2 linked regions of the Nothobranchius furzeri genome follow. The protein of the gene in region 1 purifies or fractionates together with the protein of each later gene. This does not show direct contact. Links are inferred from orthologs where the notes say so. Each region holds a gene or a part of one and is shown on either strand. Other genes may lie near its edges.

Region 1 (4,510 bases):
TGTATTACAGCAGGTTTGAAGAAGCCTTCCACTGAAAAGGTTCTGTTGCATTACGGTATCATTAAGAGGATGCTCTGGGTTGTTAAATTATTTTTATTTTTGATTTTATGAAGAATCCTTCTTTGCACCATCATCACCAGTGGTTCCACAGTATAGTCTGCAGCACGGAACCAACCTTCTTTATCAGGTTGTTGAGCCTTTTTAGGTCCCTGGCTTTGATACTATCCTAATAGGTGATGGACCCAAGTGATTGCACCCTCTATGATATACTTATAGAAGATATGCAGCAGCTTGCTACAAACCTTAAAGGATGCAAAAGCCCCCCCCAAGAAGTCCAGCCTGCACTGACTCTTCCTGTAGATGGCTTCAGTAGTCCAGTCTGTAGATGGACATCGAGGAATTTATAGTCTTCAACCACCTCCTCATCTACTCCCATCGTGCAGATAGCGTTTGACCTATTCCTATTTCTTCTGAAATTTGCAATCTTGTCCAGGAGCAGAGGGCAGCAGTGGCTCAACAGGTTGAGCGGGTTGTCCAATAATCAGAAGGTTGCAGGTTTGATCCCGGCTCCGGACAGAGAACTCTGCTGTTGTGTCCTTGGGCAAGACACTTAACCGCCTGCTGGTGGTGGTCAGAGGGACCGGTGGCGCCTGTGCTCGGCAGCCTTGCCTCTGTCAGTGCGCCCCAGGGCAGCTGTGGCTACATGGTAGCTCATCCCCACCAGTGTGTGAATGTGTGTGTGAATGGATGAATGATACACTGTAGTGTAAAGTGCTTTGGAGTCCTTACTCTGAGAGGCGCTATACAAGTGCAGGTCATTTATCATCATTTATCATTTATTCTTTATTTAACCAGGAAGGTCCCATTGAGATTAAAAAACTCATTTTCAAGGGAATCCTGGCCAAGAAGCAGCAAAGGTTACAGTTACAATATTATATCATATGAATGTATGAGAGAACAATGGCACAGAATATGATATTCAACATTAGGTCATTTTCCTACACCATGCCGCAAAGCAGTGATAATGACCCCAAAGGACCAGAATATTGGACACCACTGCACTATTAGCAAAGGGTCTCTCTCTCTCTCTCTCTCTCTCTCTCTCTCTCTCTCTCTCTCTCTCTCTCTCTCTCTCTCTCTCTCTCTCTCTCTCTCTCTCTCTCTCTCTCTCTCTCTCTCTCTCTCTCTCTCTCCAACACTACTCCGTGCTGTTCAGTGGAGTTGCCACCTTGTGTTCGCGGTGCTGTAAGTAAATGAGCCTGAGACCACCGGGGTCCACCCTCCGGACGTCTTGCAGCACTTGGCGGATTCTAGCAACCCTCGCTCCTGCAGCTTCATACTCGTTGAGAAGCCAGTTGTTCTGGATTGGTTCAACAACGACTGGGTGGGACCAGAATGAATGCGCAGCTTCGATTGGTCACTGGTTTGGCACTCTGTCCTCTGATTGGTCAAAATAGCTCGGGTTCTTTCTGAGCATACTTCCGGTTTACATGTTGGAAAAAAGAAAAGACGAATGGAAAAATTGTAACCCAGAGAACGACCATTATCTTGTTATATAGCGATACGGTAACGTCTGCACACATTCAGATATATTTGTTTGTTTAGCCGTCAGAAGTTTTTGCTGTTTAGAGTTGAGAAGTTAAAAGCAGGGGCATCAGGTTATCGAGGAGTGTTAGCTTGCTGCTAGCAAGCTTGCTAACGAGGTACGCTTTTAGTTTTAGGCTTACAGAACCAAAACTGTTTGGTACAGGACATTTTCTCCTCATGGGATCGCGTTTGGTTATGTTGCTATCGGTAGTCTGAAAGCTGTTTGTGTATCTTCGGAATGACCTGACTGTTGGTATTTGACTAGTACCGATTGCACAGCCCTTTTCGCGATGTGTTATCACAGTAATCACCATATAACACCCAACAAAAGTGCGTAGTGTGTTATATTCTACTCCGCGTCGCACTTATTTATTTGACTTAACCAGTTTAACGTTACGGCTAGTCCTCGTTTTTACATGGTCGTATCCTGGATTCCTGCTATGCTCCTCTGCGCCCGCGAATGCGCATGGCGTTAGTTAACTCCTGTTTAACCTCGCAGCCCTTCACTACAGCGACAGAGTTTAAGCACAATACGATTTATGTTTGGTTTTAACCCTTTAGGTCAGAGGTTGTTAGAATGAGCTCACAGCAATACCCCCGACACGGACTACCCGCTAGCGGGGGCGGATCTCAGATTCCTGCCGCTGCAAACCTGCTGCCAGTCAACCAGTCATCAAATGCTGCAGGTAGCACATGTTTACTCTAAAGGTCCTTGTTTAAGGTGTCGAGAAAATCTCAATATTGAGGCTGAGTCTACCTCATTTCCCCTGAGCAGGTGGTGAGACAGTCAGCAGTCGGGATGTTGCTGATCATGGCCAACAGGATCATCCACCCTCCACGGCTGGAGCCACGTTGGTTTTCAGAGATGACAAGCAGGAGACCATGGTGGTCAGACCTTATCCACAAGTCCAGGCACACGGACAGCCGCAAGCTGCTCCTCAAACGGTGTCCATTCAACCTGGTACACCTGTGAATGTACCTGCCGCTGCTGTCCACCTCCCACAGGGACAGCCTACAGTTCTCACTGATGGACAAATGAAGGTGAGAACATTTCTCTGGCAGCATTTTTAGAAGCTTTGCATATGCATCAACATGCTTAATAGCTTTTCAAAATTGATTTATTAAACAGCCTACAAGAGATGTGAACTTGTTTGTAGGGCTGCAGCTATCGAATATTTTTGTAATCGAGTACTCTATCGAATCTTTTATCGATTAATCGAGTACTCTAATAAATTACTCTTTTGCGTTTTTAAACCATTATGTGAAATAGCATGTTGTAAAATATGAAAGACCTCTTGAAATGAGAAGCAATTGCCAGTTCAAGTTTTATTCAAAATTAGTTTTCAAAATTTCAGCACTTCAACTTTACTTCACAGTAAACAAATGCGAGTGGCTGCGGCCCAAACAGCACCAGAACCGCTCACGGCGCATACGCAAACATGGCTCGCCAGCTGTTTCCCTATTAACACACGTCCGTTTTAATTTCTACACTTTTTTGTCTCACACTAACAAGGATTGTCGAAAGCATGTTTGCCGTGGTTATGTCAAATTATACTGATCACAAAACATTTATTTACTTTCTTTTGTTTTCCTCCGCCACTCATAAACACCCGTGTCCTCCTGCAGCAATCTCGAGGGACAACGGACATCAATAACAACAGAGTAAAAAGTCAGACGTGTTGTAAAAACTGCTATTTTTAGCACATTTTAAGTCCGACGTGTTGCTACCAGACGTACGGTGTGAGCTGAAACTGAGTGCTACAAATGAAAAAGTTGCACAGTGTCTGCAGAATATATAGAAATACAGGCTAAAATGCATTATCTTGTAGAGTGACATTTACATGTGGATGTTTCCTGGTCAGGTGCTGCAGCATGGAGGATGTGGTGTTGTTAGAGGTGTGAATCTTCACTTGTCTTTCGATTCGATTACGATTATTGGGTCAACGATTCAATTCGATTCGATATCCCGATGCATCACGATTATTTCATATTGATTTGTTTTCATCGATAAATAGAAGATGTCAGATAACTGCTTTTTATTTTTTTTATCAAAAACGTAATTGACACAAACTGCCATCCCTCAAAATCTCTCCATTCACAACAGGTTAGGACAAAACATTTTAAACATTTAAGAAGATTTAACAAAGTAAAACATCTGTTTCCTGGTTCAACACCACTCCTCAGGCTGAGAAAAACACGCTTTGCAAAAACTCACAAAATCTAAAAAAAGTACTGAAAACCTACAGGACACATAATGTAATAATAAAATCCATAATGTGTTCATATATGAGTGTTTAATGTCTCTGAGCAGCTCTAGAGTCAAATATTTATGCCACAGTTCAAGGATGTCAGAAATAACACCAAATGAAATGTTTGACTTAGTTTATTTTATTTGAACCCAGTGGTTAATTTCTGAAATGTTGGAGAATGAATCAAGTTCTGTTTGATGCAGAAAATAATAAAACACAAAACAAATTCTACACTTCCAATAATATTTAAGATGTGTGTTTTATTCTTTCTGATAATAACACCAGCAGAAGGCTGTGGGCTGGATTAGGATTAAATTACCCAGATGATGGATCTCCTTCACTAACCAGCTAACTACAAACCTTTCCACTAACCTGTCCTGTGGGACCCTCACCCTTTAACCCTCATGTCCATGCTGTCTCTGGAGGAGCAGATAGGAGACAGACCTCCTGTAACTTAAAATGAACCAAAGCTTCCTCCCAGTTTCTCTTTAAGATGAGTTTAACATCAGTTTATCTTCATGACACAAAATAATAAAGTGGAACAAGAACTTCTATTTCTCTCTCCTTTTAACTTCTCCGTGTCCCTAAATAAAAGAGACAGACGATCACGCTGCAGCCGCTGTCACTGACCCCGCCCCCTCCCCAAGACCGGCTCTCCCTACATTACAACAAGC
Region 2 (4,500 bases), on another chromosome or scaffold:
GTCCAGATTATAATCTGTCCAATGCTGCCATCTGATGGTGTACTGTAAAAGTTAATCTATTTAACAAATAAAATTATATTTACATGTGAAATGCTCAATAATTTGCTATGTAACTGCCTTTGGTCTGTATTTATTTATTTACTGGATTTTTTTTTATCAAAAGGTGCTATTACAACAGTAATTTTTATTTTCAACATTTTTTCATCATAAGTTATTACATTTTCTCCCATTTTTTTAATCTTAATGTTTTTTTTTTCAGTTTTTTAAGCACTTTGTGATTCTTATCTTGAGAGGATGCTATACAAAAAATCCTTTCCAAGACGTAATGTTGCTGAAAAAGTGAGATTATCTTGACCTAAAACAAAACAAAATGCAACCAATTTGAAAAGCTAAATATATGGGAACCATTAACTAAAATTAAAAAATATTGCCTCTCAAGCGTATTAAAAATAATTTTCCTTAGTATGCCATATTATTACTCTTTCGGGCATCAATGGAAAGGATTTTTTTTAAATAAAAGAGCTACACAAATTTAAGGTGACTGAAAACTTTTGCTAGGGATTCTGTTTAGAAATGCATGCACTAGTACAAAACAAATAGATGTTTGATTTGGAAATGTATTCTTTATTTACATGTTTACTGCATGATATTGACAGATGCATATAAACAAGAACAGTGATTGCTTCAACATCTTATTTTGAAAAGACACCACAGCTTAGTTAATCAATCTACAAAAATAACTAAGGTATACAACAAATACAGTTTTCGCTGTAAAATAATTATTAGACATTTCAGATGTCTAATATGCCAGTTTTAATAAACCGGTGGTCAAACACATATACTCGTTGCATTTTGTATATTGTATTAAAGATGAACATAATCGAAGGTGTGCTAGGTCATACGGCAAGTCGTCTTCTCCCTGTATTTCTGTGGAAAAGCGTTGTATCAATAAAAAATATTAATCAGTGGTTGCAGATGACTTTCAATGCACATTTAATATATTATTGGCAAATATATGGTGCACAAGCCACTAATAAGCACATTATAATTTTTATGTGACAAATACATAAATAAAAACAGGAAGCAGAACAAAAACAAAAAGAAAGAAAATGATTCGTGACTAGGCTAACATTACATAATTTACAACAAGCACCCAGCCCAAGATTTAATTTATTCATTTATCGGCTATTTATCATGGAAACACTCTCAAAAGATTTAGCAACAGAGGCAATGATGTTAGGCATTTGACAGATGATACTTTTAATTTTTCGCAACAGACTCACTGATTTTTTTAAATAAACGTTTCTTTTATAAACCTTACTAGAAATAAAAAAAACAAAAAAACAAAAAAACAAATCTATCCCGGTTTGCGAAGTTAACGGTTTGCCTGATTTCACGAATGCCAAATGCTTAAGTTGTTTCAATGCAGAAAATGTTTCTGTCACTTGAATATCGTTAAAGAATCCTCATTTAGTCTACTCAAAATGTAATTAAAAAAAAAAAGATATTCTTCTTTGGTTTGAAACGGTTTGAAATGGAGATTTTGACCAGGCATATACTTGGACACCTTGAAGACTGGGGGTCCTACCAGTTGTAGGCGCAGTTTCAAGCAAGCAGCAAAACACAAATCGATAGTTTATTTTGTTTGTTTACATTGCCCGTACGAGCAAATGGCTTCCACATTAATTTCTCCTATAGTGGATTATTACAATGATGAAGAAGAGCTCGACAGTGTAGATGAAGATGATGATCGGAGTTTCCGGGGAAGGGATTCGGAAGAAGGTAAAGAAATAATACACGACAACCTCACTTGCCGTCGGGCTCTGTCTACTTGCTGGAGCAGAAACGGAAATTCGCGGTTGTTGCTTCAGTGTATCTATTTAGGGCAACTATTATACAAATCTACCATGCTTGAAGAAACAAATTATTAAGAGAATGTTTTAACAGTTTTGTTTGAAACCCTAGGCGGGGAGATGTGAAATCTTTGAGTCCGTTTCTGCCTTACTCGCACAATAGTTAGCTATCCACGCTAATCACTGCGAAAAGCAGCGAAAAATGAGTTTCTGGTGGCGTTTATCAGTAACACTCCAAGTAAACGCTTATTTTATTGTCAGCGTGTTTGATTATTTCTTTTACAAACTGTATATGAAATTATATTCTGTATGCACGAGCTTCTGGAAGTTTAGCAACAACGTTTTGCTCATTTTTTGTTGCAAAACTACCACAGTTTTAATAGTCTTTTACCACCGGATCAGATTGAGCAATACACAGAGCACGTTAGCTATTATTTTGACGTTGACGTCATTATTTACAAGCTATAATAATATTATTGCACGTATCTTGACGCAGCCTGCGCTTTTTATGTCCCCCGGGTCTTTTCCCCAGACGGTGAACACATCGTTAATTAGCCAGTCGGCTACGTGACGTTAGCTTTGAGCGTTGACAGGTTGACCACTGCTCTGCCCTTTTCACTCCAGTCAGACCGGACGGTTAGCAGTGAAACAGACACCAAGAAGGAAACAAGGTCATGACAACACTACAAGGTTTGCTTTTGTCGCGACGCCGACTTTCAGACGGACATTGTTGATTATTCCCTGTTTTTCTCCGCATCGGATCTTTTTATCTTTAAACGTCAGAGCTAACCGGCTAGCACACGAATGCTAACTGAAAATGAAAGCTGCTGTGTCAGCTTAACTGGGCCTTTGTCACCTTTTTGTCCCAAGGTTTGAAGGTTAAAATCAGGCTGATCTGAGTTATCCAGCGCTTACAAACTTCACTCCTGAGTTTCCTTTAGCCGTCGCTGGTAAAAGGTGAAACTCGTCGGCGTCGCTGTCAGAGCTGTCAGAGGTCTGACAGATACACTGACCGAATCCGCCGGTCACTTCGCTGATTAATCGCACCGTGCGGCAAAAGCTCCACATCCAAACCAGCTGCCACCTCATCGATCGTCGTGTTTATGTGTTTTCATTCGAACTTACATTGCTGGAAAAGTCGGCTCGGTTCGAGCCGAACTTTTTCTCCGGTCACTCGGCTAATGCGGGTTTCCCGTGTTCTCCTAATCAAACAAACCAGAGTGCATCCCGAGAAGGGTGTTCACCATTATCTCACCACTGCCACGCACGTCCCTCCGTGCAGGAGACCTGTCCTGCGTGTACAACGCTGTAAACATCACATGCTTCTGCTCTCAGACGCAGTAACGCACCTGGTGAGTGTTTTCAGGCTCACTGGAGAGTTTTAAAATGAAGTCTGCTTTTTCTCAGATACTGAAGATGCCAGTGAGACAGATCTTGCCAAGCATGATGAGGATGACTATGTGGAAATCAAGGAACAGTAAGATGTTTTAAATATAATCGTTATTTTTTCTAAAGTCTTGGTTTTTGCTTGTATTCATGACTTTTGTTGTGACCTTTCTTTTCCAGAATGTACCAGGATAAACTGGCCTCTCTGAAAAGACAACTACAGCAATTACAAGAAGGTATAAATAACAAAAGTTAGTTTAAAACGCATTTCTTTGTTTGCAGATACTGTTTAAAAGTGCTTACCCTTTGCCATTAGCTGTATAATACACCAGTGTGCTTCCACATGAGTGCTTTTCTTGTGTGTTTAATGTGTTAGAAGTTAATCTTGGATACAGAACATTTTTTATTCCTTCTGCAGGCACATTGCAGGAGTACCAGAAACGGATGAAGAAGCTGGACCAGCAGTACAAAGAGAGACTCCGAAATGCAGGTAAGACCACACCGGCTGTTCTCACTTAACTGATTACATGTTTGTGTCAACAAGCTCATTAGAGTTTCCTTTATGCTGTTTTATTACAACCAGACTGAATATGTACTGCACCGCCATCTGGTGATAAAAGCTTGCAGGCTGTGTTTATCTATTTGTTTGAAAATGTTCTTCCCCCCCCCCCCCCCCCAAATCTGAGGCTATGAGCATTTAGCAAACTTACTAAAGTCTTGTCTAACATTGTTTTTAGTTTTGTTGAAGAGTTTTTAAATGACAAAATTGTTTTAATTTTCACTTTACAGATTTATTCCTTCAGCTCGAGGTAAGCACGCCCAGCAAGGCGTTTTTGCCAAGCGCTGTTTCTATTCTACTTATTTAGAATTGCAGCGTACTCCTGGCGTTTTTCTCCCGCGTTTGGTTTCGTCCAGACGGAACAGGTGGAGCGGAACTACATCAAGGAGAAGAAGGCAGCAGTGAAGGAGTTTGACGATAAAAAGGTCGAGCTGAAGGAAAATCTAATCGCAGAGCTGGAGGAAAAGAAAAAGATGATAGAGAATGAGAAGTTAACAATGGAGCTGACGGGCGGTAAGGAAACCTGAGAGTGATTATTTGCCCTGAGAGGAAAAAACTGGCAAAAGAGAGTGGATATGAGTTCCTGAACATTTAACGTCGGGCTGGGCGATATGGACCAAAACTTTTATCTCTACCTTTGAGCAGAATTACAACATACAGCATGTGTGGATGTTTGTCTTCCTGTAAAGTATTTGTAAGCTA

What was found.
Region 2: the proteins of sap130a (region 1) and suds3 purify together in Homo sapiens (affinity purification with western blotting; 3 studies listed by BioGRID, with this or other methods). This does not show direct contact. The link is inferred for Nothobranchius furzeri from reciprocal best matches to the Homo sapiens genes SAP130 and SUDS3.

What each region holds. Positions count from the first base shown.
Region 1 is NC_091756.1:60,902,362-60,906,871, reverse strand, and holds the start of sap130a (histone deacetylase complex subunit SAP130a), read left to right. Parts: upstream 1-1,454; 5' UTR 1,455-1,566; intron 1,567-1,583; exon of another isoform or gene 1,584-1,703; intron 1,704-2,148; 5' UTR 2,149-2,164; coding exon 2,165-2,273; intron 2,274-2,362; coding exon 2,363-2,628; intron 2,629-4,510. UniProt on the Homo sapiens protein: Acts as a transcriptional repressor. May function in the assembly and/or enzymatic activity of the mSin3A corepressor complex or in mediating interactions between the complex and other regulatory complexes.
Region 2 is NC_091750.1:34,585,164-34,589,663, forward strand, and holds the start of suds3 (sin3 histone deacetylase corepressor complex component SDS3), read left to right. Parts: upstream 1-1,460; 5' UTR 1,461-1,670; coding exon 1,671-1,782; intron 1,783-1,814; exon of another isoform or gene 1,815-2,527; coding exon of another isoform or gene 2,528-2,543; intron 2,544-3,260; coding exon 3,261-3,330; intron 3,331-3,419; coding exon 3,420-3,475; intron 3,476-3,657; coding exon 3,658-3,729; intron 3,730-4,028; coding exon 4,029-4,048; intron 4,049-4,154; coding exon 4,155-4,311; intron 4,312-4,500.